4 linked regions of the Schizosaccharomyces pombe genome follow. The gene in region 4 interacts genetically with the main gene of each other region. Each region holds a gene or a part of one and is shown on either strand. Other genes may lie near its edges. The genes, in order: plt1, mix23, pcs60 and SPOM_SPBC577.03C.

Region 1 (5,186 bases), 2.6 Mb from region 4:
CCATTAATGGCAAGTAGCGTTAAGAAGAAACGGGTCCGGTTTTTTTGCGATTTGGCAGAGGTCGATTTTCGGGATTATTTGGAGTCCAATTACCTAATGAATTGGTAGCGTAAAAGTCCATAGGATAAACTTCCTTCCAAGGAACAACATTAAAAGCAGCAGATGCTTCATATGGTGTCAACAATGGAGCGGGAAATGCATAGCCCCAATCTATGGAAAGCCTTGGACAAGCGACCTGAATCCACGCGTCAATATCAGAGAATTGACCCAATCTACTAGGAAAAATTTCTGACATTAAAACGCAAACGAAATCTTTATTATTTTTCCTTAAAGTATTCTTTAAATTTTCGAGTACCTTAGGAGACCCCTGTCGACCCAGTGTACCTTGAATTAGACCGAACTTTTTAGCGGTACGAGCTTTCTCAACGGCGGAATACCGAATAGATTTCATTTCTTCATGAGCATAAGATTCAATAGAGAGCTTATGTGAGTAAGGATCATAGCGGTATGCGGGCAAATCAGGATTAGCAATCATGACAGATTCCAAATGGAATCTTCCGTCACCAATGTAAATTAATGCATCTACAGATCCTTTTTCAATATAGGGAGATGTACATCCCAACGCCTCTCCAGGAGATAATGGCTTTGCTTGTGGAATAACAACGTAAAAACCTCCCTTTCCGTCTTCATCCTGTATTTGCAAAGCGTCTTTTATAGAGTTGAGAGATCCAACAAATTGGATAGTTCCAACCAAAGCTAACCTAGAATTGGAGGGTAGATTATGTTTTAAAGATGATACGACATGTTGCAAATCTATCTTTATATCCACGAAAACATATAGCACCTTTATGGGCGTTTGATCAACAGGTATAAGACAAGAATGACCATAGTGTACTAAAAAATCGCAATCGAGTGCCCTAGCTGTAAAATCGTCAATACAACACGCACCGTATGTAACGTCGCCCATCACAATTGTCTCGACCTGGCAAAATTGTTCAAAAATATCAGACAATATACAACCAAACATCAATAGCCCCTCGGGAAGTTGCAAGGCAACACGTTTTGCTTTTCGTAAGCGAATATGCCAAATGGTTTTGTGAATTTCAAAATTGTAATTTTGCGGTAACTATTAAAGGTTAGCTGACCAAGCTTTGATGTTTTTGAGAAAAGAAGAAACTAATTTACGGCATCTTTCTCTAATAAAAGCAGCTTACCAATTTTATAGCTTCATTAATTGCTTTATCGTTTAATATATCCTCTGGGATTTGAGTAGCTACTCGTCCAGCGCTCCTCTTGGAGTTAATAGTGACGAGAGCAGCATTTTCAACATCTCTATTAGAACCATCCAAATTATTTTCCTTCCTATTTTTTTTGCCAACAAAACGACGTTTTGGAATTGATTTTTTCACTTCCGCCATTGTGTTTTAAAATTATAAAGTCTATTACTAAAACCCTTTGAAATCCCAAGAAGTAACCAATGCTATGTATGTATTTAAATTGATAGAATGCCAAAAATCCTTTTTCCCTGCAAATTGCTTGTTTGTTAAATTAAAATACAATAGGATCCCAAATAATTTACTAAGTAAAAAAGCATTGCACTTTGCTATATTATTTAACACACGTTGTTATATTACGCTATTTCTATCGGAGGTTGGATCCACGAATACAGCTTCACCTCCGATCATAGGCCACGAAATTTGAACGGCTAACGCTCCTTTAGATTGTTCCAAATTAATTTGCGTGAATAAGCTAAAGCTGTTTTTAGTCACAATTGAAGTTAAATGACCTCTGTCATCCAAGATGAAATTCAGTCATAGGTTTGTTGCATCAGTTTTCACAAGACTTGTTCTAATTACTTTTTAGTCTTCAATTTAATGCAGTACCGGAATGGTCCGAAAGCTACATTGCGTAAGTAAACAACCTGTTGGATTACTTCCGATTTTTGCTAACAATCGGTGCTTAGTTACTCGAACCTTAAGAAGCTGTATGTTTGAAAATTCTCGAGCTTACGACTGGCTATTATGATATATCCTATATTCCGACAAATTCATACTTGCGAAATTTGGGATAATGTCTGATTAACAGCCGGAGAATAAAATTGTACTTGAATTTTGCTAACATATATTTTTAAGTATTTATTCATTGGAACATGAACAGATAACATTACAACAAGGCGCTCCAGATGAAGAAACTAGGCTGTTAGAGCACGAAAGAAGATCACCCGATGATCGCTTTATGTTTGCTTTAGACAAGGAATTACAAGGAATTGTTGAATTTTATGCTCCTAAAGAAAAAGAAATTGCTGATCAGTATGGTAGAATTAAGGGCGAATTTGAAACCTATGAGAATGAGTATATGAGTCAGGGAAACAACATTAATTACCCTACCCCTGAACGATTACAAAAGAGCTCAGCGAGTAGGAAATCTGGTCGTATGGCCCGCAGCCAAGAATTGCCTCGCATTACTTCTTCAAACCGTGAGATATATCTCAATGGGCAAACTAGTGATGGAGGTTATGCGGCCCCTGCTATATCTAGAGCAGAATCTACTGCTATTCAACCGTCTGAACCTCATGATGTCGATACTTCTAAAAACGGTTTATCAAAAAAACAACATTCAGAAGCTCAACCTGAGGTACAAGGCAATGATGATGAGGTGGAGGAGGAAGATGATGATGATGATGATGAAGATGAGGACGAAGATGAAGACGAAGATAACAACAATAACAATCGATGGTTGCTTATTGAACAATATCCATCTGATATTGTTGCGTACGAAAACTTCGTTTCTTTAAAGCGAAAACTGACACAGTTGTATGTTTCAATTCATGACTTGATTTCGTACGTCCATCTTAATTATACTGGTTTTTCAAAAATCTTAAAAAAATATGATAAAACTTTGGGTAGTAGCCTTCGTGAATCGTACATGAAGCGCGTCAACCAAGCTTACCCTTTCCTTCCTGCTACTGGGAAAACATTGTCAAAGCGTTTAAATATTGTTGCAGAGTGGTATGCTAAGCTATGCTGTCAAGGCGATACATTTGTGGCTATCCGTCGCCTTCGTGGTCATCTTCGTGAATACGTTGCATGGGAAAGGAACACTATTTGGCGTGAAATGATGGCTATGGAGCGTCGTACTCAGGCCGCGAGATTATCAGGACTGAAGCCTGTCGCAGCTGATGAGAAAGAATCAGAACAGCCCCCCTATTTTACAATCAAAACTAAATTTGGTGTTTTTAGAATCCCAAGATGCTTCTTTAATAGCACGATTGCAACTTTAATTACTATTATCGTTATATTTATTCTCTTATTAAGTTTTCCTGTCATAGATAATAGGGAACAGAACAATTGTTTGGCTTTGTTAGTAATGGTTTCTTTATTATGGGCTACGGAGGCTATTCCTTTGTTCGTTACTTCGTTTTTGGTTCCTTTTATGACTGTGTTTTTGAAAATTTTGAGAGATGAGAACGGTTCACCTCTTTCTGGAAAGGAATCAACAAAGGTTATATTTAGTTCGATGTGGAATCCAACTATAGTTTTGCTTTTAGGAGGTTTTACCATTGCAGCTGCTCTAAGCAAATATCATATTGCTAAAAGGTTGGCGACTTCCATTTTAGCGCATGCAGGGCGTAAGCCTAGAAGCGTGCTTCTTACAAACATGTTCGTTGCCATGTTTGCTAGTATGTGGATTAGCAACGTTGCTGCGCCAGTGTTGTGTTTTTCTATTATTCAGCCCCTTCTGAGAAATTTACCAGCAGAGTCCGATTTTGCAAAGATACTAATTGTGGGTATTGCTTTGGCATCTAATGTTGGAGGTATTGCTTCGCCTATTTCATCCCCACAAAATATTGTTGCGCTACAGAATATGGATCCCGCTGCGGGATGGGGTGAATGGTTTGCCGTCAGTATTCCTGTATCGTTACTGTGTATATTTTCTATATGGTTTCTGTTGTCTTTTGGATTACTGAAAGATGAGCACATCACTTTAGCTAAAATTCGCTCCACCAAGGATACATTTACTGGTGTCCAATGGTTTATTTCCATTGTTACGATTGGTACTATAGTCCTTTGGTGCCTTGAACGCCGCTTCGATGAGGTGTTTGGTGATATGGGTGTTATTGCATTAGTCCCAATCATTGTATTCTTCGGAACAGGTTTGTTAACCAAGGAGGATTTTAATAATTTTTTGTGGACAGTCATAGTTTTGGCAATGGGAGGTGTTGCGTTAGGAAAAGTAGTGTCTTCTTCCGGCCTTTTAGAACTTATTGCCCTTAAAATAGGTAATGCTGTTTCTTCCCTTAATACATTTAGGGTACTGCTTATTTTTTCTGCTTTGACTCTTGTTGTTTCTTCATTTATTTCTCATATAGTAGCTGCAATGGTGGTACTTCCCATTGTCCATGAAGTTGGAAGTCGCCTTGCCGATCCTCATCCACGTCTTTTCGTTTTGGCTTCGGGAATGATGTGTAGTCTTGCTATGGCTTTGCCAACCAGTGGTTTTCCTAATATGACAGCTATCATGATGGAAAATGAAGCTGGCAAAAGATATTTGAAAGTTAGTGACTTTTTAAAAGCTGGTATTCCTGCCACACTAATTTCCTTCGTGATTCTCCTATTAATTGGAACACCAATCATGCGAGCACTTGGATTTTAACCTCCTAATTTGTAAACGGTACTGTATCTTTCTTTTTATAATTTTTGAGTCGAAGCATGTTCTGCTGCATAACACATTCATATTTGTCAATTCTACTTAAATAGATTTTAAATCATTGCATTCGAAGATAAAATTATGGTAGCTTAGTGTTCCTACGGATCTTAATGTATTTATATGTTCACTTTATAATACGATACAAAACAAATTTTATCTCTCCTTTGTTTCAAATTGACTGGCAAAAAAAAATAACAAATAACTAATCACAAAAACCTAAGGAATATGAAAAATAGTTGCTAATTTTCGTAGAAACTTGGATCTTGATTAGAAATGAACCAAATTATGCATCATTCAAATAGATTGTAGTGTGTATGGTGCAGCGGGAACGTTATAATTAACCATCACCTATAGTCTCAAAATGTTACGCAAATTGCCCATCAATTTTGCGAAATGGACTGTAAAAAAGGTGCCAGTTCAGCAGAAAAGATTTAATAGTCAACAAAAAGAAATCTCACCTCATGTAAGCTTTTCTAAAT
Region 2 (3,031 bases), on a different chromosome or scaffold from region 4:
GCAAATATCAGTATATTGTATGAAAATGAGAATTTGGTGTTGGCTTAACGAAGAGAAGCTAATTTTACGCGAAATAAAAAAATCAAGCTTTTTTCAGTTCATACTAACGTTAATTAGGTAAATCCCCACAAAATTGACTGCCTTCGCCATTGGAAGAGAGAATACTCTATGGAAACTGTTCTTCTAGATTTAAAAAAGTATGTCTATTAAACTTCGTATGAATGATCATCCTAACTTATGTTTTAGAGAAATGGCATCCTCTTCCAACCGAAAACTTCCTCAGCCCCCTGAGGGTAGTACATTTTTTTAAAGCAAAAAAGGAACTCTCATAGTACAGAATCTTTCAGCTATTGTTCCTATTATTCGATCGCTGATGGTGGCCTTCTTAGCTTACATTATCCATAGTTTCGACACTATGTGTATTCCTATTTTCCTTTTTTGCTTTCTTTACATCAACGATCCTTAAAACATGCAAATTACATTACAAAATGATAACTTACAATACCTAAAGATATTAATTCTATACCTGTATTTGACATTTTGGTGTTGTGTATTTATGTGTCGGAATTTTTATTGTAAACATTTCTTTTAGAATCATAAAAAAATTTGAGGCTACAAAAAGTAATTAGTCTTTATAAGTGTCTCTCCAATCCTTAAACATTCCAGGACAAGCATTTGTCAGAACTTCCCACGTTTGATCTCGTATGATTTGTTCGACAGATAGTTCACTTTGTAAGACAATTTGTACCTCTTCCGGAGGGGATAATTGCACTTGCACCTCTTTAGCGTAAGGATCCAAACGTTCGGAAACCTGAGTCGTTGATGATGAAGGCAATTGCTGCTGTGATTTTAAGGGTGATTTGGAAGTATTTCGATCTTGATCAAGTTGTGATCGTACAATAGTTTGACATTCTTTTAAGAATTGATCCCGACTTAACCAACCTTCGAACAACTTTTTCTTTACGTTTTGACAACGCTCTTCTTGGGTTTCATGTACCTTCCCTTCTGGGTATTCCCATTTTGCTGAATTAAGAGATAATTGGATGGTATCGTCTATCTTTCTAGCTTTCCTCAAAACATCTAAAAGTATGATTAGTATTGGATGAATTGGTTGTGTAAAAAAAACAGTGTTCGCATACTTTTCAAATACCTTATATTCATGCAAAGACCCCGTTTTTCTTCATTCATTGTGTTTAATATCAATTTTGTTTTCCTAATTAATAGTTTATTAGAGGGGATTTTGGTTTTTGAAAGAAAGACTCAGTCGCCTGGTAAATTCGTTCTTTGTATGTGTGTGCTAATTACCAAATGGGGCCTATTTGATTGAAATGTAGCTTTCGGCTACCATTTGGGATATCAACTAGAATTTTCAACTTTCGATATTTAACATTTAAAAAAACAGCTGATAAAGTAAATGATTGCGAATTGGCAGGGAGGATTTTATGTAGACTAATACTTTTACCATTGTGAATATGATATGCTTAACAATCCAGGTGAAGTTGCCTTTTATCGAGCAATTTATTTTTTAAAAATGTGCATATGCTTGAACTCAGCATATCATTTTACCGAGGGTCTGATCATGACATTGACAATTTCATTCGTATACAATTTAATTCTCGGCAAAAGCAGTTTTTGTGTGACAAAAAATTTCCCCTACTTCATTCATATTTGTATGTTCTCTTGAAATCAAAAGACAACCTGTGTAATCGTTTCATTATTGGTTTTCGGTCAAAGGGGCCAAGGCTATATGCATGGTCATTTCATCAGTGTTTTCAGCTTTTGCAGATATACCATCTGTGTACCTGATTTCTGTGAATTGTGGAGCAAGAGAATTATGGCTCACTATTACATCGATACATTTCGTTTCCTTGAGAGAGCAGCGATATGAATTTTTGGCGAACAGTTTGGGAGAAAGAACATCGTCGCTCAAATCACAAGAAGAAATGGTTTCAGTATCTAGAAATGGAAAACAACTTCTCTCTGAAGCTTCCTTCTTCCGTTTGGGAAAACACGTGCATCTTAATTTTTTGCCCTTCGAGAACACTTTTGAAATGGCATTGAGGAATGATTTCCAAATTTTCTGCACTTCCATATTGTTTACTTGTTATATTCAATCTTTTTCTTTATTGATTTCAAACTTTTTTATAGCGATTGAGGTTTCAAGATCTTTTTTCTGACAAATAAAAATATCTGATCAACGTTTTCTTGGATAGTGATTTTTTTTCTTTTTCAAGAAACAGGATGAAAAGATTCTCTTATCTGTTAAGCATTTGGTGGCTTTAATATTCTGTAAGTTTAGGTGATGAGGAGAACTGTGTGTTTGTTTACCTTGGATTAATATGTAAACAAAAAGCAAATATGTTTTAATGAGCCAATTGTATGATCATCCTTTTGCAAATCAGAAACTTTTCTTTTTCTTTAAAATTGAGACATTTATTGATAAATGTGAAGGGAAACTACAATTTAAACTGTTTATCCATAAGAACCTTCTTTGAGCCGCTCTTCTACAATCAGTTGATAAAATCAGGGCTGCTTTTTAATGAAAATATTTTTTTTGCTTTCTTTTTATCAAAATCTCTTCAGAGTATCACATACTTTCATAATTGGATTTACTTAAAAAGAGGAATTGATAGCTTCTGTTTATAAATAATAAAAAAAAAACTATAAGTATTAAATAGTTATAAATTTATGTATAGAATTTCTTTTAAAAAAAACAGTTTTTTACGAATTTCTATTAAAAAGGGCTTAGTTTTACAGATGGGAAATCTAACTCGCATGAGAAATAACCATTCATTATAGTATGACTGATTTGATGTCGAAAACGAGGAATTAAAATAAAGCAGAAAAAGCAAAAAGAATAAAAGGAAGCCTACAGCACCCCGGATTCCCATGTTGTCTCCAACCATAGTACTAACGAGGCCCTCAGACGCTTAACTGCAGTGATCGGACGGGAACTGGTGTTTTCGCCTAGGTATGGCCGTAGACATTTGTTGTGTTAAATAATAGTATTTATTCTGTTATTCAAGTAGGT
Region 3 (4,537 bases), on a different chromosome or scaffold from region 4:
TTTGTATAATGTTGGTGATTGTAATAATATTTATTTAAATTAATAGTGCAAAAATTATGCTACTGCTTTAGCTAATTCAAAACTATATTAGATGCAGTCGCAATTTGTATATATTCCTTTTCGTATTAAAAAATAAATACCAAAAATTAATTCGTCACTTGAAATTTGACTGAGCATGATTGTTTAATATTATTTTTGTAAAAAAAAAAAAAAAAAAAAAAAAAAAAATTTTATTATCTTGAGAATAATATGCCTTCAAGCAAACCACCAAATTTAAGACATCAAATTGAGGAAAGAATTTTACGTATGTATATATAATAAATTTTTTAAGAAAAAGGAATTTTAATCTTTGCAGTGAATACTAATAATTATTTAGATGATATAATCCACATATTTTGCAGGTATTGTTTCGCATATGCTCACGCTACTAATTTATGAATCAATGGGAGATAGCGGGAAATATGAAGTGCGAATTAGTTTAAAAAAAGAGAAGATTTAATTCAGTGTTCAAGGCGTTGATGAATGCAACAAACCAGTATAATTTCCTAAAATCAGTAGCAATATCGGACGTATCAGAGATAGACCATGTGAATTTGAGGCGACAAACCACCCGTTTAATTTCAACGTAAAAATCCCTATAACTTCAAACATCGTTTGCAATGTTCTGTTTAATCATTGTAAACTTTACTGTGGATTACTTTATCAAGTGACATTGACATTGTAATCTCGCATAAATTTTTTAACATTTACCTAGCCGACGAATTTAAGGAACATGTCCTTTTCCATAAAAAAAGTTTAAAAGAACCCGAAATAGGAATATTTTGATTCAGCATCAACGGTTTTTACTCAGGGAAGTTCAATATTTAGGATTCCCTTATTATACTTACTTTACTTGAGGGATTCGTTGTCAAATAATAATTCTTTCTCGACCGTTTCTATTTGGGAAATATTAACAAAAGCACTAACACATTTCAAACATATAGCTCTCGATTTAAAAAAAAAACTACTTCAATTAATTTATATTTATATTCATCCAGTAAAAAACTTGATACTTGGTACAATGCTGAAATGATTCCATTACAACTAAACTGGATGAATCCCTTTTAGATTGAGAACGGAGAGACCTGTCTGTATATTCCAGCGTCCTTTAATTAAGTAGATAATTAAGTGCAAGCAATTTTTTCAATCTGCTGTAAAGCACTATTTACATTAATTTTAAAAATTGACAAATGGAAAGTATCGAAGCATTTGCAAGCATGCAAATGCGATCGATTTAAACTAATATAAGTCAAGTTTATGAAGAATAATTTATACATAATAGCGAAATTAATGATTAAAAGAGATAATGAATAACTTTCTCAATTGAAACGCTTAGTTTTGTGAAATTCAGAAAAACAGAAATTTAATTCTACCAACTTAGTTTTTTTTCTTGGAGGTGCTTTAGTATTATACCTTTGAGTCATTTCCGTTGAATTCATTTAATTTGCAAAAGATAGGAAGAATCACTAATGTAGACAAATCAATTCCATTAGTAATGAATTCGATTCGATGCAACCACCATAAATGCCATTCTTCATTCATCAATATTTTTTAACTAATTTCTATAAAAGTCCAGAATAAGGAATCCATATTTTTCTTGTTATACTCTTACCGTAAATTTCGTTACTACCACCTCCCTTTGAATACCGGATAAATCATTGCGTTCGCGCCTAGATCTGTTGCGCAATTTAGGGGATCTAATTTGCAATCGGGTCTAGTACTGTATTCTTGATTTCTTCAACTTAACAAAAACTTACCTTCATTAAAAGAAGAATATTTTAGTTGGTTCATTGTACGTTATTTTAATGAAGCAATAAAAGATTTAATCACTTAATTCAACACTCACTTTACATTTGACTAACATATACAAGTAAAAACCAATTACAAAGGATTTAGGGAAGTTTTCAAGATTTCTCGTCTAAAAGATTTTTTTTCAATACTTGAGTAGTTTTTTCTTGAAGAAACTCTTTATTATTCGTGCGTTGAAAAACTTTTTAGGTATTTAGCTTTACTAGTGTCTTACCTATCTATCCGATTTTTTAACTCATTTTCCGTGTAAACTCATTCCTTTTGCTGCTTCCTTAATCCGCATTTGAGGAGGTTAAACATTGTAATTCTTACTTTTGAATTACTACTTATTTAATTTATCATATATAAACTTTTTTTGGTGTTAGAATTTTGAAAATGTCTTTTACTACTTTATATTCAGCTATTCAAGGTGATGCTAGTGCGAGAGCCTTGGTAGCCCCTTCTTTAAATGCAGAACTATCATTCAGTGAGCTTCGAATTGCTATTATGGATCTTCAGCGCCAAATTGCCAGCCTTGGCATAAAAGTTGGAGACCCTGTAAACATTGCTATTCCCAATGGCTTGGAATTCGTCGTAGCTTTTTACGCTGTTTCTTGGCAAAGAGCTATTTGTGGGCCCCTGAACTCCAACTACAAGCAATCCGAGTTTGAGTTTTACATTGATGATCTGAAAAGTAAACTCGTCATTGTTCCCGAAGGCTCCGTTGCCGCAAATACCCCTGCTGTTCGTGCTGCTAAGAAATTGTCTGTCGCAGTGGCCGAACTTGCTTGGTGTCCCAAGTCTCGATTAGTTCGCATTGTTCACTTTGAAGGAGCCAAAATTAATGCTCCTCAACCACTTGGTCTTCCTCAACCCGACGACGTTATGCTTGTCCTACATACTAGTGGTACCACTGGACGCCCTAAAGTCGTTCCTTTGACTCACAAAAACTTGTGCCGTAGCATCCATAACATTACTACCTCTTATAGATTGGATCCAAGAGATACTTCTTACGTTGTCATGCCTTTGTTTCACGTTCACGGTCTTCTTTGTGGCCTCCTTTCTACTTTAGCTTCTGGTGGATGTGCCGTTGTACCTCCCAAATTCTCTGCTCACAGCTTCTGGAAGGAGTTTATTCAGTATGGTGCTACTTGGTATACTGCGGTCCCCACTATTCATCAAATCCTTCTCCGTACTCCTCCTCCCAAACCTCTTCCTCGAATTCGTTTCATTCGTTCTTGCTCTTCTCCCTTGGCACCACCAGTCTTAAGCAAACTAGAGGCTACCTTCCGTGCTCCTGTCCTTGAGGCATATGCTATGACCGAAGCTTCTCATCAAATGACTACCAATCCCTTACCTCCTTTGGTACACAAACCTCATTCAGTTGGTAAGCCTTTTGGAGTTGAACTCAAAATTTTGGACCAGAAAGGTAACGAAATGCCCCAAGGAAAAGAGGGAGAAATTTGTGTTCGCGGAATCAACGTTACCAAGGGTTATTTGAACAATCCTGCTGCGAATAAGTCATCCTTTACCAAAGATCGTTTTTTCCGTACTGGTGACGAGGGCAAACTTGATAAAGACGGTTACGTTTTTATTACTGGTCGCATCAAGGAGCTTGTTAATCGTGGTGGTGAAAAGATTTCTCCAGCTGAGATTGACGCTGTTTTAATGCAACATCCTGATGTTTCCGAAGCTGTTTGTTTTGCTGTTCCTGACGAAAAATACGGACAAGACATCCAAGCAGCTATTAACCCTGTTGCTGGAAAAACAGTAACCCCCAAGCAGTTACATGACTATTTAGAACAGAAGGTTGCTGCTTTTAAAATCCCTAAAAAGTTTTACTTTACTGATCGTATCCCTAAAACTGCTACTGGAAAAGTGCAACGTCGTTTGGTCTGCGACGCCTTTTTCAATCACTCCAAGGCCAAACTCTAAGAGTATCTGGTACTCAATATTTTGCTTCTTTACCCCAAAACTCGCTAATTTGTCTATTTTAGTTACGAGTTTATAAAGCACACGATGAAATTTTGTTATTAACTGTATCGAATTCAATACTTAGAATAAACTATTTTAGATCACATTAGAAAAGTATTTCCATCTTATCTTATATACTGCTGTAGATTTAAATGAAAAAATAATAATGAGTTTTAAGTCTTTGTAGCGTTCAACAATTTTTTTATGGTCAGCATAAAAATCGTATGTATTGTAATTTAGCTAAAATGTGTATGTGTCCACTGCACCACAAACCGGAACTTCGCAAAACCGTAACACAACCTAAGGAAATTGACAATTATGGGAGAAGAAGGTATTAAGATAAATGATACTCACAAAAGAAGAATAGATGAAGTGGAACCATCTGAAAAAGAAGATAATGTAGAAAGACAGACGAAGAAGTATAATTTCGAGATTGATGAACCTGAAGAACAAGAAAAGAAAGATGAGAAGGAAGATGATAAAGAGGAAAGCCCTTCTAAATCTTTGGAAGAGATATCTCAATCAGTTTCACCTGTAGAGGAGGAGCCTCGTGATGTTCGGTTTAAAGAGCTGTCCACTCCTTTTAGTTACCCTATCAATGATCCTCCTGAGGGTCGTCCTGTTCGAGTTTACGCCGATGGAGTTTTTGACTTGTTTCATATTGGGCATATGAGACAACTAGAACAGGCCAAAAAAGTATTTCCTAATGTGCATCTTATTGTTGGTCTTCCCAACG
Region 4 (4,431 bases):
TAATAGTTTCTTCTGCAATGTCTTTTTTGTATTGTAGTACGATAATTTATCACATTAACTATTGAATAATGAAACGCGTTTACAGGTATCGCATTGTCAAGTATCTGTTGTATATTTTAGCATATGGCAACTCACTCTTGTAAAGGCTTTATGAATGTTAATTTAAAAAAAAAACAACTTCAAATAACTAGGTATGTATTTTTGAGTCATTTGCTGCCTGCCATTTTTTACTAGGATATAAATAAATTATGGTAACTTTCCTTCTAACAAATACGAATATGAAGAAAAGATCAGAAACATTAGGCTCGGATCAATCTAGGTATGAAAGTAAAGGGAAAAATAATTATAAACGTATACTAATTAAATCAGCTCTGAAATAATTGAGCATGTTTTGGAAGAGTTAAACCTCAAAAACATTGAAAGACGCGTCAAAAAGTATGACCAAATTGAAAGCGAATACAAGACCAATATAGAAAATGAGAAAAAGGCTTTTATAAAGGATGTTTCCCAGGTTCAACAGAAAATGTACGAAAATAAAACGGTAATCCTGGCAGTCATTAACATCAAATTATAGAAAGGAATTTGAGATACAAAAAGCGAATCAAATTAAACAATTGAACGAAGAAAAGCTTTCTATAGAAGCTAGAAAACAACAACTCGAAATCGAAATACGCAATCAGTTGTTACAGTATGCCGAGAAACTGCGAATTGTTGTTAAAACCCCAATGAACCAACCAACAAATACAGAAGTATAAAGTCATTTTAAACACATTATATAAACTAGTGCCATAAAATCATAAAACGAATTAAAAATATGTTATGAGCATACAATTTAATTGAAACTTCAAACTTGAGAATTGAAAAAGTAAAGTGAGGCTAATCGTTTCTAAAAATCTAAATCCGTTCTTTTTATTAAACGCTAAAAAATGGGTAGTAAATGAAATGAATAAACACATAAGTTTTCATGGGAATAATTTACATGGAGGTAATGTTATAGTACTCCTGGACAGGCACGCTGGAGCGAAGGAAAGTCTGCAGCTTTTCATCTCCTTTCTGCAATGCATTCCTCTTTGCTTTATTTTCAGATATTAATGCAGCTTTCCTCTTTAAAAGTTCCTGCTTTAAGGTGGAAAGTCGTTGACGTTCTTTCAGTTCGTCTTCAAGAATCGCAAGCATTAGATCATGATCATTCGAACTCTTAAATTCCGGGTGTTCCTTCAAAAATTCTTCTTTTGAGACGAGTGGTAACGCTGTGTATATATGTCTATTAAAATGGTTAGAAAGAAATGAACAAAGACTTTTGAAATCTGAAAAAAAAAAAAAAAAAGGTAAGGAACTTTCACGTACTCCTTTTCTTCGTAATTTTTTATTATCGTTTTTAAATGCAGCTTTTTGTACTGTAACGCCTGAAGCCGTATACGGGCGTTATCGAGTTCAGACTTGTGTTCGGCTGTTATAGTCTTTGCTTGTACGAGCTGTTCGTAAGATTTTCTATTTGCTTCTCGCAAGATTAAGAGCTTTGACATTAACTGTCGTTTAATTTGCTCGGGATTTTGATCGTCGGCATCTCTGCTATGCTGTTTCAACTCATGAATTCGCAAACACAATGTTCGAGTTGAGTCAAGAACGTTCAAACAATCTGATATTGCATTTTCTGTCATTTTTACGACGAAATACTACTCTTTCTTGGAAATTTTGTAGGAGGAGGTTTCCAAATTGTTTAAAAGAGTAGACGTTTGGGCTTAACTCGTCAACTCAGTATAGCTACGCCTTTACTACCATAAAGGTTAACTGACTAAAACTAACTTCTTATAAGTTGAGCCTTGAATTTATTGTATATATTTGAGAGATTTTCGTTGAATGTCTTTTCAATCAGAGTTCTCGTAAAACTATTTTACTAAACATCAAATCACGTTTTTTTTATCCGTTGCATATATTCAACTTCACGGTTCGGTATCATTTTGATTGATACTGTAAACATTTGGAATAAGTGAGTATTTGGCTATTGAAGAGTCGGTAAAAAAAAGTGTGCTTTCAATGAAAATTAATCAAAATACTACTGTTGATTGCGGCAACTTGATTCTCGTGCCATATCAAAAATGCCATGTGTTAAAATACCATAACTGGATGAAAAATGAGGAATTGCAAGAGCTTACTTGTTCAGAGCCTTTAACTCTTGACGAAGAATATCAAATGCAGGCCTCATGGAGTACTGATGAAGATAGTATGTTATGATGGTTCAACATTCGTGATTGATCAATTGCATCACAAGTTCTAATCATTTTCTAACGATATAGAGCTGACGTTTATCGTTTTACTAAACGAAAACGATGAAGCTAAGAAACCTTCAATTTTGGATCATGTAAAAGCCCACAGCGTTGAATCAATGATTGGGGATGTGAACATGTTTTTGACTGAGGAATACGCAGACGGTATAGAAGAATTTGATGATTCTCCCAGTGATGCTAATGCTACCAATGCTACGAAGGAGTCAGAGGTACATATAGTAGGTGAACTTGAATTGATGATTGCAGAGCCTCAGAATAGAAGGAAAGGATATGGAACCAAGATTGTAGATGCATTTTTGCACTATGTTGAATCCAGTGGAATTGCCAAAAATAAGCAAATCCTTAAGTATCGAGTCAAAGTTGGCTCCCAAAACAAGCCTAGTATTCGGCTATTCAAGAAATTGGGCTTCTCTCAAGTTAAGTACAACGCTTATTTTGATCATGTAGAGCTTGAACTAATGAGGACTTCATAAGCGATGCAACAACGCTTAAAGTTATTTACTTGTTTACTTTATGCAAGTGTTACATGCAGCGAACTACTTTAAAAGGGTTTATTAAAAATTGTTTTCTACACAACCCTATGGCTAATTATACCTCTCATCTCGCAACAACAATTATTTACATACAGACCTTTATTTTATAATCGCGAATTGGGTCTGCTTATAAAATTCGTGAACAACTTGGATAATTTCACCGATTTCTACTCTTCGATTTTTACATTACATTACAAAATAATATGAATACAATCTTTATTGATCATTTTACTTTTGAAAAAGAAAATTTTTGTTTTTAACTGAATGCAAAAACCATGAGAGGTTTCTTTTTCATTAATCACTCAACCAGAAACTTTATGCCTTCTTTCCAACCTCAGTAACGGTCAAATCTATAGAAAACTTGTTAGCTTGAGTTCACTTATATGAACGATTAACTCAGAGCTGATCATTTGTTTCACGAATTATCAACGCTTTAGGAAGAATTCCTTCGCAAAATGCTTTAAGGAAATGTAGTTCCCTCAATAAAAAGTAACTGAGTTAATCTTTCTTAGTAGTTTATATAACATACCGGGAGGAAGAGATTGACGGAGCTTCTCAGCCTTCTTGGCGTCAGCGACAACCAAGGTATACAAGTACTTGGAACAACGAAGCTTGAACTTAACGTCCTTGTTAGTGTTCTTCTTGATGCGGGCAGAAGTAGCATCCTTTCTGCGAGCGATCTCCAAGAATTGCTTAATGTCACTGATTTGACGAGGCTAAAACATGCATTAGTCGATGGTCATTCCTAACACTGAATATATTTTACAGAGACAACTTTAACGAACGAAAGATGAAAACAGTTTTCTCTTCCATAAGCTGCTGAAACCTCTACTTATCTCACTTACCATTTTGTTGAGCTTGGTGAAAGACCAAGAATTCATTCTTTCCAGTTTATCAAAATTTCTGTGACTGTGTTTTACAACTCGAATGGTTTGTAACTCGTTAAAAAGAAATTACGAGCTCTTAATCAGCCGGTATTCGCTCAAGGGGATTAACACTATCCTTCACTATACTGCTTGAATGGGCGTTAGATTGAAGTTCGTTTTTTAAATTGCTTAGCTCAGGTATATACTAAGTGTACGTGATAATAAAATTAAAAAAAAATAGAATAAGAGATGGTCAATATTTATATCTTAATCTATAGTTAATACTTTAATTTTTCCATGCATAATGTTTTTGGAAATTGATAGATGAAGTGTAACAACAAAGAAATGTTTTCAATAGATTTACATATCCATTTGCTATATCTTTTACATCTTTCTATTAGGATCAAACGACTTTATGCTCTTCGTTTTTGAAAACTATATTACATCAATTGCGAAAAAATAGATTTTTACAATAAAATGCTTTCATCCTATCCAAATGTGGATCAAGGCTCTATCTGTCTGTCTACAAAGTATTAACAACATAGCAGCATTCTTGTGAATTATAAAGATAAAGCATACTAACTACTACATATAGAGGAAGTTTGATTTATATGAGCGTGCTTCTATACGAATTTTTTGTTCCACGACGGAAACGACTTTTAAATAAACTCATGAGAAATTCCAACGAAGCTTAAACATTGCCTTTCAAGTGTCAAAATAATTATTGCTTTCGTTCACTAAAAT

What was found.
Region 1: mutations in SPOM_SPBC577.03C (region 4) and plt1 together harm fitness more than expected from each alone (negative genetic interaction), as found in Schizosaccharomyces pombe (one large-scale study listed by BioGRID).
Region 2: mutations in SPOM_SPBC577.03C (region 4) and mix23 together harm fitness more than expected from each alone (negative genetic interaction), as found in Schizosaccharomyces pombe (one large-scale study listed by BioGRID).
Region 3: mutations in SPOM_SPBC577.03C (region 4) and pcs60 together harm fitness less than expected from each alone (positive genetic interaction), as found in Schizosaccharomyces pombe (one large-scale study listed by BioGRID).

Annotation. Positions count from the first base shown.
Region 1 is NC_003423.3:3,385,900-3,391,085, forward strand, and holds plt1 (phosphate transporter), read left to right. Parts: upstream 1-1,718; 5' UTR 1,719-1,800; coding exon 1,801-1,817; exon of another isoform or gene 1,818-1,863; coding exon 1,864-1,908; exon of another isoform or gene 1,909-1,963; coding exon 1,964-1,984; exon of another isoform or gene 1,985-2,132; coding exon 2,133-4,653; downstream 4,654-5,186. Other genes in the region: diphthamide biosynthesis protein Dph1, read right to left, coding at 20-1,126, 1,215-1,418; mitochondrial F1-FO ATP synthase peripheral stalk assembly factor Ina17, read left to right, coding at 5,069-5,170.
Region 2 is NC_003421.2:1,367,168-1,370,198, forward strand, and holds mix23 (protein mix23), read right to left. Parts: upstream 1,288-3,031; 5' UTR 1,189-1,287; coding exon 1,140-1,188; intron 1,102-1,139; exon of another isoform or gene 1,081-1,101; coding exon 626-1,080; 3' UTR 557-625; downstream 1-556. Other genes in the region: ubiquitin-conjugating enzyme Mms2, read left to right, coding at 118-197, 247-310; protein Mug112, read right to left, coding at 1,715-2,092; SPOM_SPCC338.03C (uncharacterized protein), read left to right, coding at 1,752-2,177.
Region 3 is NC_003421.2:2,377,710-2,382,246, reverse strand, and holds pcs60 (acetyl-CoA ligase), read left to right. Parts: upstream 1-1,783; 5' UTR 1,784-1,831; intron 1,832-1,910; 5' UTR 1,911-2,223; coding exon 2,224-3,762; 3' UTR 3,763-3,995; downstream 3,996-4,537. Other genes in the region: pcy1 (cholinephosphate cytidylyltransferase), read left to right, coding at 4,120-4,537.
Region 4 is NC_003423.3:753,890-758,320, reverse strand, and holds SPOM_SPBC577.03C (GCN5-related N-acetyltransferase), read left to right. Parts: upstream 1-1,752; 5' UTR 1,753-2,037; coding exon 2,038-2,224; exon of another isoform or gene 2,225-2,297; coding exon 2,298-2,761; 3' UTR 2,762-3,136; coding exon of another isoform or gene 3,137-3,171; 3' UTR 3,172-3,350; coding exon of another isoform or gene 3,351-3,537; 3' UTR 3,538-3,666; coding exon of another isoform or gene 3,667-3,669; 3' UTR 3,670-3,910; downstream 3,911-4,431. Other genes in the region: meiotic recombination protein Rec27, read left to right, coding at 279-319, 370-525, 575-755; tho5 (THOC5-like protein), read right to left, coding at 976-1,264, 1,348-1,661; rpl3801 (60S ribosomal protein eL38), read right to left, coding at 3,137-3,171, 3,351-3,537, 3,667-3,669.